Callithrix jacchus: one gene and its partners. The protein of the gene in region 2 interacts with the protein of the main gene of each other region in a pairwise test. Links are inferred from orthologs where the notes say so. Each region holds a gene or a part of one and is shown on either strand. Other genes may lie near its edges. The genes, in order: TK1, SETDB1, MBD1 and UBE2I.

Region 1 (3,558 bases), on a different chromosome or scaffold from region 2:
TGTTGTCCAGCCCGGCAGGCTGGCCTGAGGCCTTCTTGAAGTAGCAGAGGCGACACACAGAGTGATACTTGTCTGCTCCTCCAATCACTTCGACCTAGCCGCAGGGACAGGGGATGGGTGAAGGGCCGGGACAGGAAGGAGACAGAGCCACGCCCCCACCCCACCAGCCCGCAGGGAAGACAGGTGGAGGTACCTCCTTTTCGGTGCCAAGCCTCTTGGTGTAGGCGGCTTCCCGGAAGCACTCCATGCATACTGCGGTCAGCTTCACCACGCTCTCGGCCAGCGGCACCAGGTTCAGGATGGTCCCAAATGCCTGCACTCCCATGGAAAGACAGTGGGTGCTCGGCTACCTTCCCAGGCGGGGTTTTCTTTTAAACCCTTTGATTCATAAGCACTGAAGCCAGGAAAGTTTGCTCTGACCTCAGTCCTCCCCCAACCCCCAGAGCACCATGCCTGGCTTTGTCTCCTTGCCAATTCAAACCACCTGCCGCAACAGATGGCACCTGGTCTGCATAGACCAGGGAGTCCCTAGGCTCAGGCAAGGACTGGTCTGAGCAGCTCAACTGTGCCCCTACAGTGGCTGGGCCCTGGCCACCCAGAAGCCCCCTCCCCTCCTGGAATCACGCTCCAGACCTGGATCAGACACCTTACCTTCCTCTGGAAGGTCCCGTCCAGTGCAGCCACAATTACTGTCTTCCCGGCGTTGGCCATGGCCTCACAGAACTCCACGATGTCAGGGAACTGGAAAGGGAAGGTGGAGAAAGCGTGAGAGTTTCCACCCTAGCAGCAGCTCCCTGAAGTCCCAGCAGAGACGCTGCCAGATCAGACAACTCCCGCCATTCAGCCTGGAGCAACTCTAACTCTTCCATGAGGTTCCTCAGGCTGGGGACTGTCCATGGGTGCCCTCCCAGCAGATGACAGGCACATCCACAACTGCCCAGCCTCTTCCCTCTGCAGCCAGCTTCTGCTCCGAGTCCAGGTACCCAGGACTCAGCATCAGACTTCCACACCTGCTGTGCTGTTTAACACTGCAGCGGCCAAAGGCTGGGGCCAGACATCTGCTGCCTGGGGCTCGGACACCGCTATTCCGAGCGGACACCATTATCTGTGTGACCTTGGCAGTGAGTTAACTTCTCTGAACCTGTTTCCTCTTCACTGAGCGATAGCAAGAAAGGTCCTATTGTGTAAGGACAGAAGGCACTAAGTTATACACATGCACTTCAGTGAGTAGCTGGGCATTTTGTGCTCTTGCCCCCTCGCCTTTTTAGACAGGTAATGTGCCTTGAGAAGGTGTGGGGGTCCTCCTGGCCATTTACAGAGCAGGATGACACAGCACAGCCTTCTAAATACAGGGCCGGCACAGAGCACATTTACTGCCTACATCAAATTTCACTTTGGCCCAGGGAGAAGCTGAAACTCTAGCAAGTGCTTTGGTGATTCTCATCAATCAGTCATATTGCTTTTAGCTGGTTGAGTTCACATGTCCAGACTGGCCTTTGGGTTGGCTGAAGTGGGGATGTTCCTGTCCTTGGGCACAGGTCTCTCTCCAGGAGCCCCTCAGGCTTTCCTCAGCCCAGGTACTGAGGTTTGAGGTTATTAAGACATTAGGGCTTAGCAAGGCGAGGACTAGGGGATAACTGGAAAAATTCCAGTGGGATCCAGGTGAAGCCTGATGTAACCGACTGCGCTCAGCAGACTGCAGGGGCCTCTAGAAAGAAAACCCAGAGACTCCAGCACGCTGGGCCCTGCCCCACCATGCACGTGTTCTCTCTTTTTCTCTGAGGATTCATCACATGTCACAAAAAGGCAGCTCCCAGTCTTGCTCCCCATTGCCCAGGCTGGAGGGCAGTGGCTCAACCATGACTCACAGCCTGGACCTACAGGCTCAGCCGATGCTCCCACCTCAGCCTCCCAACTAGCTGGGACTACAGGTATGTGCCACTACTCCTGGCTAATTTTTGTATTTTTGGTAGAGGCAGGGTTTCACCATATTGCCCAGGCTGGTCTCAAACTCCTAGTCTCAAGCAATTTGCGTGCCTCGGCCTCCCAGAGTGCTGGCATAACAGGCATGAGCCACTGTGCCAGACTCTTAAGTTTTTCCAGATTAAACTTACGAAGTCTCTAATCCAAAAGGCTCCAAAACCTGAAACTTTTTGAGTGCATACCACAAGTGGAAAATTTCACACCTGACCTTATGGGACAGCTCACAGTCAAAACCCTGGCTCATGCCCAAATTACCAGATAGCATATAAAATCACTCCCAGGCTATGTGGATAAGGCATCTATAAACATATCGGATCTTGTATTTACAGTTGGGACTCATTCCCAAGGTCTCATTATATTATATATATGCAAATATTCCAAAATCTGAAAAAATCAGAAATCCAAACACTTCTGGTCCCAGGCATTTACGATAAGGAACATTCAACCTGTATTACTTGTGTTAGTAGAACAGAAAACACAAAAAACCGTTTTTTGGTTTTTTTTGTTTGTTTGTTTTTGAGACAGAGTCACTCTGTCACCCAGGCTGGAGTGCAGTGGCATGATCTTGGCTCACCACAACCTCTGCCTCCCGGGTTCAAGTGATGATTTTGCCTCAGCCTCCAAAGTAGCTGGAATAATAGGTGTGTGCCACCACATCCGGCTAATTTTTGTATTTTCAGTAGAGACGGGATTTTACTATGTTGGCCTGGCCGGTCTCAAACTCCTGACCTCAAGTGATCCGCCCGCCTTGGCCTTCGAAAACGCTAGGATTATAGGTGTGAGCCACTGTGCCCAGCCAGAAAAAAAAGTTTAAAAAAATCAGAGCTTCCACTATTGCCAAGCAACCCTGCAGGCCCGCCAGACACTGTACAGCTGTTGATGAACGCATCGGGGAGGTGCTGGGGCCAGGGTGCTCACCCACCACCAGCATCTGAAGCACAGCACGCCCAGCTAGTGGCTTTGGGGTCTCCACATGACTCTCTCTTGCATGCCAACAATTTCTACAAAGCAGTGTGAGCGCCACTGTGCCTCACCCGGCATACAAAGAAGCACAGAAGCTTCTGACCTAGGGCCTTCCTCAGGATGGCATGGTGGCTACTCTATGAAAGGCTTTCCCTGCTGACCCAGAAAACAGGAACAAGGCAGGTCAGGCTGGGCTTCTTCCACTGTCCACGTAGACAATGAAGGAGGGAAGGACAGTCCTTCTGTGGGTCCCCATACTAGGAACCCCTCTCCTCCATCTAGAAATGCTTGCAGTGGGAAGATGCTAAACTTCTAGAAAGGAACAAGGGCACACAGAATGGCACAAGGCTGATGTCTGGATATGGGGTGTAATAAGCACTCCCTGAATGAACTAAAGTTTTACTTGTGGGCCAGGGAGGAAGTAGACTGAGAAATCTCTCCTTCAGGCTGGAACGGGACAGGACTTAATATGCTGGCTCCTGGATGTTACGGAAGGAGGAAGGAGAAGGGAAAGGTTTCTGCCTGGGGGGGGTCTGGGTCAGCATCTGTCAACAAGGTTTATGCAGAGCCAGAGCAGAGCTCTTGAGCAACTCACAGTGGCAGGTCTGAAGG
Region 2 (3,997 bases):
TCCTTCCTTTTTGTTTTGTTTTTGAGACGGAGTCTCGCTCGATCACCCAGGCTGGAGTGAAGTGGCAGGTTCTCCTCTTACTGCAGCCTCTGCTCCCGAGGCTCAGGCGATCCTTCCACCTCAGCTTTGGAATTGCTGGGAAGACAGGTGCGAACTACCACACCTGGCTGTTTTTTTCCCTTGTATTTTGAGTGGAGATGGGGTTTCACCGTGTTGCCCAGCCTGGTCTAGAACTCCTGAGCTCAAGCGATCCTCCCGCCTCAGCCTCCCAAAGTGCTGGGATTACAGGCATAAGCCACGGCGCCCGGCCTGGGGAATCTTTTCTCCAGAAATAAAAGTCCTACCTCAAAAGGATTTTTATTTTTATTGTTGCGCTATTTGTAGGGGCTGAGAACGGAAAACAATCTAAACGAATATGGTTAACCATACTATTGAAATGTTAAAAGTACAAGTTTTACCTTTTTTATTGGCGTCAGGTAATGTCTACATACTAAACGAAGACAAACAAACAAAAAAATCTACACACAGAAACTAGAAAATTAAGCTGTGTTACCTGAAAGGAGTGGAGTGGTAAGTGATGGGGCCAGAGAGAACATTATCACGTTTTTCTTACTACATCTTGATAGCTTTTACAATTTGTATCACTTACATAACAAAATAAACTCAAGGAAAACTGAGAGAAAAAAGCTCTAAACCAATGAGTGTTACCCCAAGTCTTTACGCAATGAACGCAGTAATGTGGCCACCAGTCAAGGGTGGTAGGAGAGGCGGAGCCTCGGCAACATACTTTTGGCCACGCCCACTTTGCTCTGCCAGTAGCTTCTCACGTGTGTTTAACGCATGCGTAGTTACCTTAGTGTGCATTGCCTCAGAGGGGCGCCCCGCGGTTTTGGGTTTGGCCCCGTCAGGCTACCGTCGCGGTGACCGGAACGGCATTAGAGGTTTGCTTCCGGGCGTCTCTTTTGCTTCCCCTTCCCTCCATCACGCTTTCTCCCCTCCCCCTCCTCTCGTATCCCTTCGCTTTCGCTCTTTTCCGTCGAGGCAGACCCCCGAGTCGTGAGTCTGGGGTCTGGTTGGTGAAAAAGAGCCCTTACAACTGGAAGCAGGGAGGTGTGGGGAATACTGTTAATTGATTTATTTGGTGACCAAAGGCTTATCTGGGATGTTTTGTCTGTGGGAGGAGGTCGGGCGAGGGTGGGAAGGAAGTCGTCTCTTGAGGCGAGCGGGGGCGGGGCTGAACTGGGTTTGCGGATGGATGAGGCGCACCCCTAGCATTCTAGGGGTAGCACTGGGGTGGGCCGGTGTGTGGGCAAAGGAAAATGGAGGCGCTGAAAATCAGATTTGCCTTAACAGTTTGATTAAACAAGCATTTCACACAAATGTGTGAAGCATTTGGATTGTGGATATTAGGTAGCCACATTTTATTCCCAGGTTGCTTTACTTCTCTGGAGAAACCTTTTTGCTGCAAGCTTTTGTGTGCTTGAATACCATAGACTTTTTAAAAAGTTAATTTCCACATGAAAGCAAAGTAATGTAAGGGGAACAACTAATGAAAGAGAAAATAGGCCAGGCGTGGTGGCTCACGCCCGTAATTCCAGCACTTTGGGAGGCCAAAGTGGGCGGATGACCTAGATTGGGAGTTCGAGACCAGCCTGACCAAATTGGAGAAACCCCGTCTCTACTAAAAATACAAAAAATTAGCTGGGCGTAGTGGCACATGCCTGTAATTCCAGCTACTCGGGAGGCAGAGGCAGGAGAATAGCTTGAATTCGGGAAGTGGAGGTTGCGATGAGCCAACATTGCCCCATCGCACTCCAGCCTGGGTAACAAGAGCAAAACTCCGTCTCAAAAAAAGAAAATATTGAATTAGTGAGTTACAGATCAACTCCGTCCCCAGATGGGGGGTTTTGTTCAAATTAGGCATAACATGGCAAAGATTTATCACATTAGTTAAGGAACACATATAGACCACAAAAATACCACCTTCTATATTGGTTCTCTTCAGTTTTCTAAAAAATTATTTTTGAAGTTTTGTTTTGAGACAGGGTCACCCAGGCTGGAATGCATGGCACAAACAGCTCACTATAGCAGCCTCTCCTGGGCTCACGTGGTCCTCCCACCTCAGTAGCTGGGCCTAATGGCATATGCCACCACACCTGGCTAATTTTTGTATTTTTTTTGTAAAGATGGGTCTCGCCATGTTGCCCAGGCAGGTCTTGAATTCCTGCCCTCAGGTGACCCTCTGCTGAGATTACAGGCACAAGTCACTGTGCTGGCCCAAAACATTATTTTCAGTAGCTCCCTACTGCATAATGAATGTTTTCCATGCCCTCTCAAACTTTAAATGTTATTCAGGCCTGCTACTGTATAGCAGAAGAAATCTCAGCATCAGATTCTGGGGAATGAAGAGGGAGAACATGGACCATTTGAATAAATAACAGGCAGCAGGGTAGAAATGCTTTATTAGGGAATCAGTTCTCTATTGATTGTGGTTATAAGGACTCCAGTTTAATTTGTTTTCTGTTCCATGCAGAGGACAAAAGCATGTCTTCCCTTCCTGGGCGCATTGGTTTGGATGCAGCAACAGCTACAGTGGAGTCTGAAGAGATCAAAGAGCTGCAACAGGCAGTGGTTGAGGAACTGGGTATCTCTATGGAAGAACTTCGGCATTTCATCGATGAGGAACTGGAGAAGATGGATTGTGTACAGCAGCGCAAGAAACAGCTAGCAGAGTTAGAGACATGGGTGATACAGAAAGAATCTGAGGTGGCTCATGTTGACCAGCTCTTTGATGATGCATCTAGGTGAGAACTACATAGACAACAGAGGGAAATCTCTCCATTGGGAGATATCTTTAGGGCATAATTGTTCATGACATTATACTAAGCATTTATTTTAATTTTTTAATTTAATTTTTTTTTTTTTTGAGACAGAGTCTCACTCTGTCACCCAGGCTAGAGTGCAGTGGAGTGATCCCAGCTCACTGCAACCTCCATCTTTCAGGTTCAAATGATTCTCCTGCCTCAGCCTCCAGGCACCTACCACAATGCCTGGCTAATTTTTTGTATTTTTAGTAAAGACAGGATTTTACCATGTTGACCAGGCTGTGTACCAAGAATTTTATACTTTATGAAGTACAGATGTTTAGAACTTTACTCTTCCTCAAAGTTTATGGTCAAAAATCTGACCTCACAATCAGCCATTTATAGAACTTTTATCTGTCAGCAGCTGATACATGATCAGCAGTAAGGGAGTCCAAGTCTTAAGTCCCTTCCCCTTCTTCCTCCTGTGTTCTATCTTAGAAACAATTGCTTGTTCAGGGAGTGAGGTTTATAAAGAATTTCTGTCTTATGTAACTTTGAAGCATTATTAAGTTCCTATACTCCTAAAAGTTATTTTTGGTGATCTAGTTGTCATTTAGAATACCTTTTTTGTTTTTGAGACGGAATCTCGCTCTGTCTCGCCCAGGCTGGAGTGCAGTGGCATGTTCTTGGCTCACTGCAGCCTCTGCCTCCCAGTTTCAAGCAGTTCTCCTGTCTCAGCCTACTGAGTAGCTGGGACTACACGTGTGTCCCACCACACCCAGCTAATTTTTGTATTTTTTGTAGAGATAGGGTTTCACCATGTTGGCCAGACTGGTCTTGAACTCCTGACCTCAGGTGATCCGCCCACCTCGGCCTCCCAAAGTCCTGGGCTTACAGGCTCGAGCCACTGCACTTGACCTATATTTTTTATTTTATTTGTTTTTTTGAGTTGGAGTCTCACTCTGTCACCAGGCTGGAGTGTGGTGGTGCAGTCTCCTCTGCCTTCCAGGTTCAAGCGATTCCCCTGCCTCAGCCTCCCAAAGAGCTGGGACTGCAGGTATACACCACCTGGCTAATTTTTTTTTTTTTGTATTTTAGTAGACACTGTTTCACTGAGTTGGCCAGGATGGTCTCAATCTCCTGACCTCATGATCCGCCCCCCTCAGCCTCCCAAAGTACTGGGATTACAGGCA
Region 3 (4,193 bases), on a different chromosome or scaffold from region 2:
TCGCCATTACTGCTGGGAGAAGCTGCGACGTGCGGAAGTGGACTTGGAGCGTGTGCGTGTGGTAGGTTTCCATGTGGTTTCAGTGCTGCACATGGTAGGTGTCCATCCCGGACGTGGCCGAGGGCAATCGGGGCTTCAAGAGTGCCTGCTCAGGACTCCTGCTGCTCCCTTGGCAGTGGTACAAGCTGGATGAGCTATTTGAGCAGGAGCGCAATGTGCGCACAGCCATGACAAACCGCGCGGGATTGCTGGCCCTGATGTTGCACCAGACGATCCAGCACGACCCCCTCACTACCGACTTGCGCTCCAGTGCCGACCGCTGAGCCTCCTGGCCTGGACCCCTCACATCCTGCATTCCAGATGGGGGAGCCGCCCAGTGCCCGTGTGTCCGTTCCTCCATTCATCAGTTTCTCTGGTTCAACCTGTGCCCATCCACCGGTTGACCGCCCGTCTGCCTTTGTCAAAGGGTTTTTCCCTGTCTCCATGTTCAGTGCCTGGTGGGGCTGCAGAGTCCACTCATCCTTCCCCTCCCTGGGTTTTGTTAATAAAATTTTGAAGAAACTAAGGAAGCTGCCTCCACATTGCTGCGGTTGCAACTATTCCCAACTCCTAGGTAAGATGGGGGCTCCTGCACCCCGGAAGAGCCCAGGGACCCACATTCCCAGCCTCCCACGGGCATAGGTCTACGTAGCGCGCATTCAGTGTGGTGACACTGCCCGCTCGTGCTCCTCTCTCCCACGCAGAGCTGTCGTCCGCCGTGGACGCCAGGCCCCGTTTAAGCCCCACCTTGACGATCCGCAGGGGCGCGCCCTCCAGCGTGCCTCAGTTTACCTGCGGTGCAGCTGCACCGCCCCCTTCCCCGGCCCGCTTGCCCCGCGGCGGTTCAGCGGGGAGGAGGGAGCAGGACACGACAGCCCTGGGGTTGATGTTCGGAGAGACCTGGAGGCACAGGCTCGACACCAGCGAGAGGTGGGAGAGTAGAGTGCCGGCTGGGCCAAGGAGTGCGCAGGCCTGAACCATCTTTCTCGCCGCCGTCCGCATCCGCTTTGGAGACCGCGGGAGGAAACGGAGGGCGCAAGCGCAAGCCCTCCCCAACCACTTCCCCTCAGCTTAGACTGGAGAGCGCATGCGCACGCCAGAGAGGCAGCGAGGGGCTCCGCGGCTGCTGATCCCTCGATGGGGCGCGAGCGGCTATTAAACGTCATCACGTAGATGCAACTCGTTCCTGGCAGGGGCGCGCGCACAGTTGCGTGCTAGCCCGCAGGCGCAGGAGCCTCCCTATTAAGGGCACGCGCCGTCGAAGCATTAGCGCGCAGGTGCGTCTCTAGAGGAGGAGCCCGAGAGAGGCAGGCCGCGGACTTCCGGTTCCGGGAGCAACGAACAGCCGCGGAGGCAACAGCTACCGCTTCAGAGGAGGCGGCCGCCGAGGAGGAAGAAGGGGAGGAGGGCGAGGCGGAAGGTGCAGGAGGGACCCTCGCCTTGGGTCCACGGGCCTAGAGCTGCGGAAGATACCGGTCTGGTGCCAGACTGGTGAGACAGCCTTGGGGCTGGACGTGGAGAGCGCTCAGGCGGAGGATGGGAAGGAATTGAGGCTCAGAACGCTGACGGGGTGGAATGGAGGGCCCTCAGGCCGGTGAGGGAGAGGAATGGCGGCGTCGGAATACTGACGAGGAGAAATGGGGGGATTTAGGCTGAGGACGGGAAGGAATGGAGCTCAGAACTCTGACAGGTAGGAGTGTCGAGATCCTGGGGTGAGGACAGGGTGGAATGGTGGAGTTCAGAATGCTGAAGGGAGACATCAGGGCATCTGAAGTTGAGAGAGAGAGAGAGATAGGGGTTCAGAACTCTGAGGGAGAAATGAGGGGCCCTCAGGCTGATGACAGGAGAAATGGAGACGTTGGAATGCTGAAAGGGAGGGATGGGGGCCCCATATAGAGGATGAGGAGCAGTAGGAGATCAGAACACTGACAGTTAGGGATGGCATGATCCTGGGACAAGAACAGAGAATGGGGGAGGGTTCGGAATGCTGAGGGGAGAAATTAGGGTCTCTCAAGATGATGATGAGAGGAACGGAGGATGAGAACAGTGAAGGGGAAAAGAGGGGAACTTTTTGGCTGTAGAGGAGAGAAACAGGAAGGTTTGAGGGCTGACACTGGGGAGAAATTGTGGGTCAGAACATCGAAGGAAAAGAAAAATAAGTGGGGAGCTCTTGGGCTGAGGAAGGGGAGGCATAGGAGGCTTCCAGTGTGAGGAATGGAAAAGATGAGGGGCTGTTCAGGCCATGGGTTGAAGCAGTTGTGTCTCTCGCAGAGGAAGTCGAGGTTGTAACACTGAGATAGCAGGATAAGAAGACATCAGACAAGGAAGGAATGGAATGGTTAAAACACTGAAGGAGGGAAATTAGGAACTCCTGGGTCAAGGAAGGGGGAATGAAGAAGTCAAGTAGTGAGAGCAAGAGAAATGGGGCCTTTTGGGGCTTGAGGATGGGGAGTATGGGGGTCTTGGGGTGATAAAATAGAGGGATAGAGGACCTTAGGTCAATGACAGGGAGGAATGAGGGAAAAGGATGAAAAGTTTGTGGACTGGCAGTGAGGAGAAATGATGGGATGTCAGTCCAAGGATAGAGAGGAGTAGGGAATAGGACACTGAGAATAAGAAATGGGGACCCTTGGGTTGAGGAATGAGGATCTTTTAGGCCCAGAATAGGAAAGAATGGGATGGCAGATCCTAGGTCTTGGGCAAGCACTAATGGATACCAGTGATTTGTGTGGCCTGAGGCACAGTTTTGTCCCTTACTAGAGCCTCAGTTTCCCTCATCCTCTCCACCCCCTTTCAGGCTACTGCAGCTTCCTGTGGCCTCCATGGCTGAGGACTGGCTGGATTGCCCAGCCCTGGGCCCTGGCTGGAAGCGCCGTGAAGTCTTTCGCAAGTCAGGGGCTACCTGCGGACGCTCAGACACCTATTACCAGAGGTACTGGGTGGGTTGTGGACAGAGTTGGGGTAGGGTAAAACCTGATTAGGGTAAAATCAAATAGGGTGGTTTAATTTATGGATGGAGTTTAAATTATGCATATACAGTTCATTGCTATTATTAGCAAATTTTATGTTTGCAATTTTATCTACTTAAAATTTATTTGTAATTTAAAAGTCACAACTCACAGTGCATTTGTGATTATTCAAGGACATGCACAGAGCAGTGAAAAGCTGTCACTCAGTGCCTGTGTTTCTAGCTGAGGCTGAAGGAGCTCTTTTTGTTTCAGTTTTTAAAATTACTTTTGAGACAGAGTTTTGCTCTTGTTGCACAGGCTGGAGTGCAATGGCACTATCTCAGCTCACTGCAACCTCTGCCTCCTGGGTTCTACGGATGCTCCTGCCTCAGCCTCCTGAGTAGCTAGGATTACAGGCACGCGCCACCATGCCAGGCTAATTTTTTGTATTTTTAGTAGAGATGGGGTTTCTCCATGTTGGTCAGGCTGGTCTTGAACTCCTGACCTCTGGTGATCTGCCTGCCTCTGCCTCTCAAAGTGCTGGGATTACAGGCATGAGCCACCATGCCTGGACATGTTTTAGCTTTAATACTGTAAGCAAGTAACTGTTCTTTTCATGGTGTGTTTAGTGTCACATTTTTCCAATTTTTGTACTTTTTGTTGGTGATTTTGTTTTTTAAAATGGTCCCAAGCATAGTGCTGAGGTGCTGTTTAGTGTCCTGAGTGTGAGAAGGCTGTGTTGTTTCTTACGGAGAAAATAGAAGGTAGATAAACCTTTTTCATACATGAGTTACAATGCTGTCGGCTGCAAGTTCAATGTTACGCATCAAAAATATGGTACAACCAGAAAAAGAAGGAAATTTGCCAATATGCATATGAGGCTGCTTCAGAAAGTACAGAAAGCATTCATAGTCTTGAAGCTGTGGAAAAGATGAGAAAGCAGCTACATTGGTGGATTCATGAAATGATGATCAGTAATTCGTAGTGGATAGCATTGTTGAGGAAAGCCAAACTAACATTACTCTGGGTTAGGAAAATATTAAGGTTATATCAGGTAGTGCTGGCTGACTTGCACATTTCAAAAGGTGACATGGCATGAAAAATGTTAAACTTGGATCCAGTACAGGTTCTCCCAATTAGGAGTCTTCTGCGGAATTTTAAAAATACTGTTAAGTGTTATACAGGAAAAGGGTTATGTAGAATAGT
Region 4 (4,347 bases), on a different chromosome or scaffold from region 2:
GGAGGGAATGAATGAGGGAGGGAGGAAATGAGTGAGTGAGGGATGGAGGGAATGAGTAAGGGTGGGAATGAGTGAGGGAATGAATGAATGAGAGAATGAGTGAGGGAGGGAAAGAGTGAGGGATGGAGGGAATGAGTGAGGGATGGAGGGAATGAGGGTGGGAATGAGTGAGGGAATGAATGAGGGAGGGAGGAAATGAATGGGTGAGGGATGGAGGGAATGAGTGAGTGAGGGTGGGAATGAGTGAGGGAATGAATGAATGAGAGAATGAGTGAGGGAGGGAAAGAGTGAGAGATGGAGGGAATGAGTGAGGGAACGAATGAGGGAGAGAGGAAATGAGTGAGGGAGGAAATGAGTGAGGGAGGGAATGAGTGAGGGAGGGAATGAGTGAGGGAGGGAATGAGTGAGGGAGGGAATGGGTGAGGCAGGGAATGAGTGAGGGAGGGAATGAGTGAGGGTGGGAATGAGTGAATGAGGGAGAGAATGAATGAGGGAGGAAATGATTGAGGAAGTGAAGGAATGAGTGAGCGAGTAAAGGAATGAATGAATGAATGAATGAGTCAGTGAGGGAGGGAATGAAAGAATGCGGTCATTCCCCGTGGTCCCCAAGCGCCCGGACACAGTGACCTTGGCAGCGACCCCGCCGTCGGCGAAATGGGGGTGGGCGGGCCAGGAGAGCCCGGGGCCAGCACAGCCGCGCGTTGGCGGAGCGTCCAGCGCGCTCGCGGGGCTGGGGGCCTCCCGACCCGGTCCCCGCGGTTGGCGCGGGGATGGGAGTGGGGGTGGGGCCGGGAAGCGCCCCTCCCCCACGGGCCCGCCCCGCCCCCGCCGCTCGCAGGCCCCGCGCCCCGCCCCCGCCCAGGGTCCGCCCCCAGGTTAGGGAACATCCTCACTTCTCCTCCCGTCGGTCATGCGCGCATTCGGCCTTTTGTACCGGGTCAGCTCATTGGGCGGATGAGAAGATTTCCCCGCCCGCCGCCCCGAACTGGCCAATTGCAAGAGGTTTCACAGGGCGCTAAACTAGCGGGAGCGTCACCGTCCTGCGACGCTTCAGGGTATCCTTAGGCCTCAGTGGTCTTTGCCCCCAGACCCCAGGCCCTGACCCCAAGGAAACCTCCGGGACGTGTGCCTGGAGAGGTGACTTCCGGGTATCCAGGGAGCTTTTGGAGTTCTCGGCCTCCTTTTGCCCCCGCTGCTCGCCGGCGCGTCCTCGGATGGACGCGGGCGCCCCGAAGGGGAGTTTGCAGACGCTCCCTCACATCGGGGACGCGGCTCCTTTAAGGGTGTAGGTGTCCAGGGCGCCGCCTGACTGGAAAGTCGCCCCCCGACCGGGCTCCTGGGGCGGACCCGGGTCGCGGGCGCGCGGTGGCGGGGCCCGGGCGGCGGGGGGCGGGTGGTGGCGCGGGCAGCACTCGGGGCGGGACGGCGGCGGCGGCGCGCGAGGCAGGCTTGCGGAGGGCAGCCCCGCGCCAGGCCCCGCCTCGCGCGCCCCGCCCGCCCCAGGGTCCTCGGAGCTGCTCGGGCTGCGCGCGGAGCGGGCTCCGGAGGGAAGTCCCGAGACAAAGGGAAGCGCCGCCGCCGCCGCCCCGCTCGGTCCTCCGCCTGTCCGCGACGCTCGCCGGGGCCGCGGCCGCCCGAGGTGAGCGCGGGCGGGGGCCGGGCCGGGGCCGCGGGGCGGGGGCGGGCTAAGGCCTCCAGCGCTGTCGGGCCCGGGCCCCCGGCTGCCCCGCGCCCCGCCCCGCCGAGCCCGGGCCCCGCGTCGCGGCCGAGCTTCCCAGAGAGGCCCCGCGCTCGACGCCGGCCCGGCCCGCGGTGCTGGCGTCGCGGGGCTGTAGCCCGAGCGCCCGGTTCGCCGTAGGCCCTCGGGGCCGGGGCTCCCCCACTTCGCCCTCGAGGTGCGCCTGGCGCGGGGCCGGGGCAGCCACCTGCAGCCGGGGCCCCGCGAGGCCGCGCCTTCCTCCTCCGCGGCGAGCGGCTTCCGGGGTCACGGTCGCCCGCGGACGACGAGGATGGGCCTCCGGGGGGAGAGCCGCGGATTGCAACAGCGCTGACTCGCGCGGGTGGGGGCCGGCGGGCGGGCGGGCGGCTCTTCGGGGCCTTCAAACCGAAACGCGTCCAAGTTCTCTCGCGCCGCTGAAGACGCCCCGCCGGCGCCGCTGGTGGGAGTTTGGTCCGGTCTCGGGCCGCTTTGTACCGGTTGAATCGTGGTTGGCTCTGGAAGTTGGGGCCGTAGGAGGCAGGTGCGGGGTGACGCGCTGGGCTTGTGGTCGTGGCCTGCGGTCAGGCGCGAAGCGCAGGACGAAGTGGTTCGGGGTGTGGAGTCGGGAGTCACGTTTAGTTCCTCTGTCCGCGGAGTCTTGGGGGATTTCGTCGGTTTTCTCCCTAGGACTCACCCCACCCGTTTCTTGCTCTTTAAAGAAACGTTGCCTTTGGGTAGAGAACCTAGCGGAGAGAACACAGGAAGGACCCTCAGTTTGCCCTGGGGGCTCACAAAGAGGTCCCTTCCCTAGGCTGTTGGGTGGCTGCAGGTGTCCCGGGGTTTGGGATCTCGCTGCGGAAACAGCCCGGGGGCCTGGGACAGACAGGTCAGGTGCGGCCAGGTGAGCGTGTCCCGACTGCAGGTGCCCGGGTCGTGCAGAAGGGAACATCCTCCCGGGCCTGGGAGAGTGTGCATTTGGGTGCAGGAGGACCTTTGAGGGCTTCAGGTGCGAGCCTGTCGGGGCGCCCACCTGTTCTGGTGATGAGGGCTGCGGAGCTGTGGGCGGCACTGTGGGAGATGGGCGCTTTGCTCACCCTCAGCCAGGAAGTTGCTCTGAAGTGGGTGCAGTCGGCCAGCAGAGCCAGGTGGTGATCGGACATGCTCAAGCTCAGCCCTCTGCGTGTGCCCTGTGGGAGGGCAGGCGGCAGACTTTCGGGCAGCTCCTGGAGTGCCCGGCCCAGAGGTCCCGTTGCTGCCGGTGTCTGGGCCTTGCCTGGCGCTGACAGAAGAGTTGTTTTTGTGTTTGTAGCGTAAAAGTTTCCTGTTTTGAAGCCCTTAGTGACTCCTAGCTGTTCACTAAGTGCCTATCTGTTAGTTGGGGAGGATGGATTCAGTTTTCAGTGGGATTTTTGAATGCTGGGTCTGTGTTGTGATTACATTGTAACAGATGGGCCACTTTCTCCAGTGGGCAGGCCAGCAGGAGGGGGAGCAGGGATCTTGGAGGCCAGGCCTGGCTTCTGCCTAGGATGGGTGGGTGTGCACCTGTGGCTCCCTGCCCTGATGGTAGAGTGTCCTGTACGACCCCCGCCTGGTGCTGAGTGCTTTGGGGCTGGCGGCACAGCGGCAGCAGCCCGGTCTTGGCAGGAGGTTTGGCAGGACCACCCTCATGACTTCTCACACCTGAGGCAACAATAGCTGGGGGCTGAGCACGGCCTCTGGGCGGCCCTGTCCAGTCCTCAGCAGGAAGGCCACCTGTGGCAGAGTCCCAGGCCTGCTGGCCTCTCCATGGCCTGGTCTTGCCTGGCTGTGAGCATCGGTGCCCATGGTCCTTCAGTGACTGGAGCGCTGGTCTGGGGCTTCAGAGGCCCGTCTGATGCCTGGCCCCGCTCAGACCATGGGCACCTGGGAGCTGGCGCCTTCGTGAAACAGCCACTCGCCAGGCTGCTATGCACTGCACAGGGCACAGGTTGCAGCCACTCAGAGACTCCTCCCTGGGGCTGGGGAAGCAAGAGCCCCTGAGTTCTCAGGCCGCCGGTACCAAGGTGGTGCTGGGCTACTCCATGTGGAAGAGCCAATGGAAGGGGAAGGTGGAGAAAACTCCACACCGGCTGGGGTGTGGAGTTTCAGACCCCAGCCAGTGCAGAGAGAACCTTGAAACCGTGGTTGGCGAGCACTCCAGCCTGCTTGGGACCCATACCCTGCCTGCCCCCAGCTCGGCCCAGCTGTGTCCTCCCCCACTTTCTCCCGACTTAGAGGAGGGTGTGGGGAAGGGCAAGCGGTCAGGAGGGCAGGTGGCCTGTGGACCCTCTGCGTCTCAGTGAGGAAGATGTGGGGAAGGACATCCCAGTGGGGCCCAGTCCGTGGCTGCCTCCAGCCCCGGCTGCCTGTCTTGGACTTAGTCGTGGAGCTGGAGGCCAGGGCCCAGTGGCCCCTGTCACTCTCTCCCAGTGCCACCAGCGCCTGCTGACTGGAGGACCCAGGTTCCTCTGCCTGCTTTTTCTCGGACTACCATGAGAACCCGTGTTTGGTGAAAATGAACCAAATCCCCCTGCAGGGCACGCGGCTCTAGCAACCCTGCCCGGCTTCCGGAACCCTGGTGCCCTGGTGACGCTGGACCTGCCTGGGCTTCTTAGATCCCAGCCCCCACA

The links.
Region 1: the proteins of SETDB1 (region 2) and TK1 interact in a two-hybrid assay, tested with the Homo sapiens proteins (2 studies listed by BioGRID and IntAct). The link is inferred for Callithrix jacchus from reciprocal best matches to the Homo sapiens genes SETDB1 and TK1.
Region 3: the proteins of SETDB1 (region 2) and MBD1 interact in binary tests that used the Homo sapiens proteins (3 or more experiments, as listed by UniProt). The link is inferred for Callithrix jacchus from reciprocal best matches to the Homo sapiens genes SETDB1 and MBD1.
Region 4: the proteins of SETDB1 (region 2) and UBE2I interact in a two-hybrid assay, tested with the Homo sapiens proteins (2 studies listed by BioGRID and IntAct). The link is inferred for Callithrix jacchus from reciprocal best matches to the Homo sapiens genes SETDB1 and UBE2I.

The regions. Positions count from the first base shown.
Region 1 is NC_133506.1:133,959,148-133,962,705, forward strand, and holds part of TK1 (thymidine kinase, cytosolic), read right to left. Parts: intron 742-3,558; coding exon 652-741; intron 314-651; coding exon 194-313; intron 95-193; coding exon 1-94. UniProt on the Homo sapiens protein: Cell-cycle-regulated enzyme of importance in nucleotide metabolism. Catalyzes the first enzymatic step in the salvage pathway converting thymidine into thymidine monophosphate.
Region 2 is NC_133519.1:10,822,732-10,826,728, forward strand, and holds the start of SETDB1 (histone-lysine N-methyltransferase SETDB1), read left to right. Parts: upstream 1-1,151; 5' UTR 1,152-1,379; coding exon 1,380-1,410; intron 1,411-2,533; coding exon 2,534-2,804; intron 2,805-3,997. UniProt on the Homo sapiens protein: Histone methyltransferase that specifically trimethylates 'Lys-9' of histone H3. H3 'Lys-9' trimethylation represents a specific tag for epigenetic transcriptional repression by recruiting HP1 (CBX1, CBX3 and/or CBX5) proteins to methylated histones.
Region 3 is NC_133514.1:93,464,070-93,468,262, reverse strand, and holds the start of MBD1 (methyl-CpG-binding domain protein 1), read left to right. Parts: upstream 1-1,369; 5' UTR 1,370-1,676; coding exon 1,677-1,729; intron 1,730-2,836; coding exon 2,837-2,971; intron 2,972-4,193. Other genes in the region: CXXC1 (CXXC-type zinc finger protein 1), read left to right, coding at 1-61, 177-323. UniProt on the Homo sapiens protein: Transcriptional repressor that binds CpG islands in promoters where the DNA is methylated at position 5 of cytosine within CpG dinucleotides. Binding is abolished by the presence of 7-mG that is produced by DNA damage by methylmethanesulfonate (MMS).
Region 4 is NC_133513.1:3,564,603-3,568,949, forward strand, and holds the start of UBE2I (SUMO-conjugating enzyme UBC9), read left to right. Parts: upstream 1-1,503; 5' UTR 1,504-1,639; intron 1,640-1,969; exon of another isoform or gene 1,970-2,236; intron 2,237-4,347. UniProt on the Homo sapiens protein: Accepts the ubiquitin-like proteins SUMO1, SUMO2, SUMO3, SUMO4 and SUMO1P1/SUMO5 from the UBLE1A-UBLE1B E1 complex and catalyzes their covalent attachment to other proteins with the help of an E3 ligase such as RANBP2, CBX4 and ZNF451.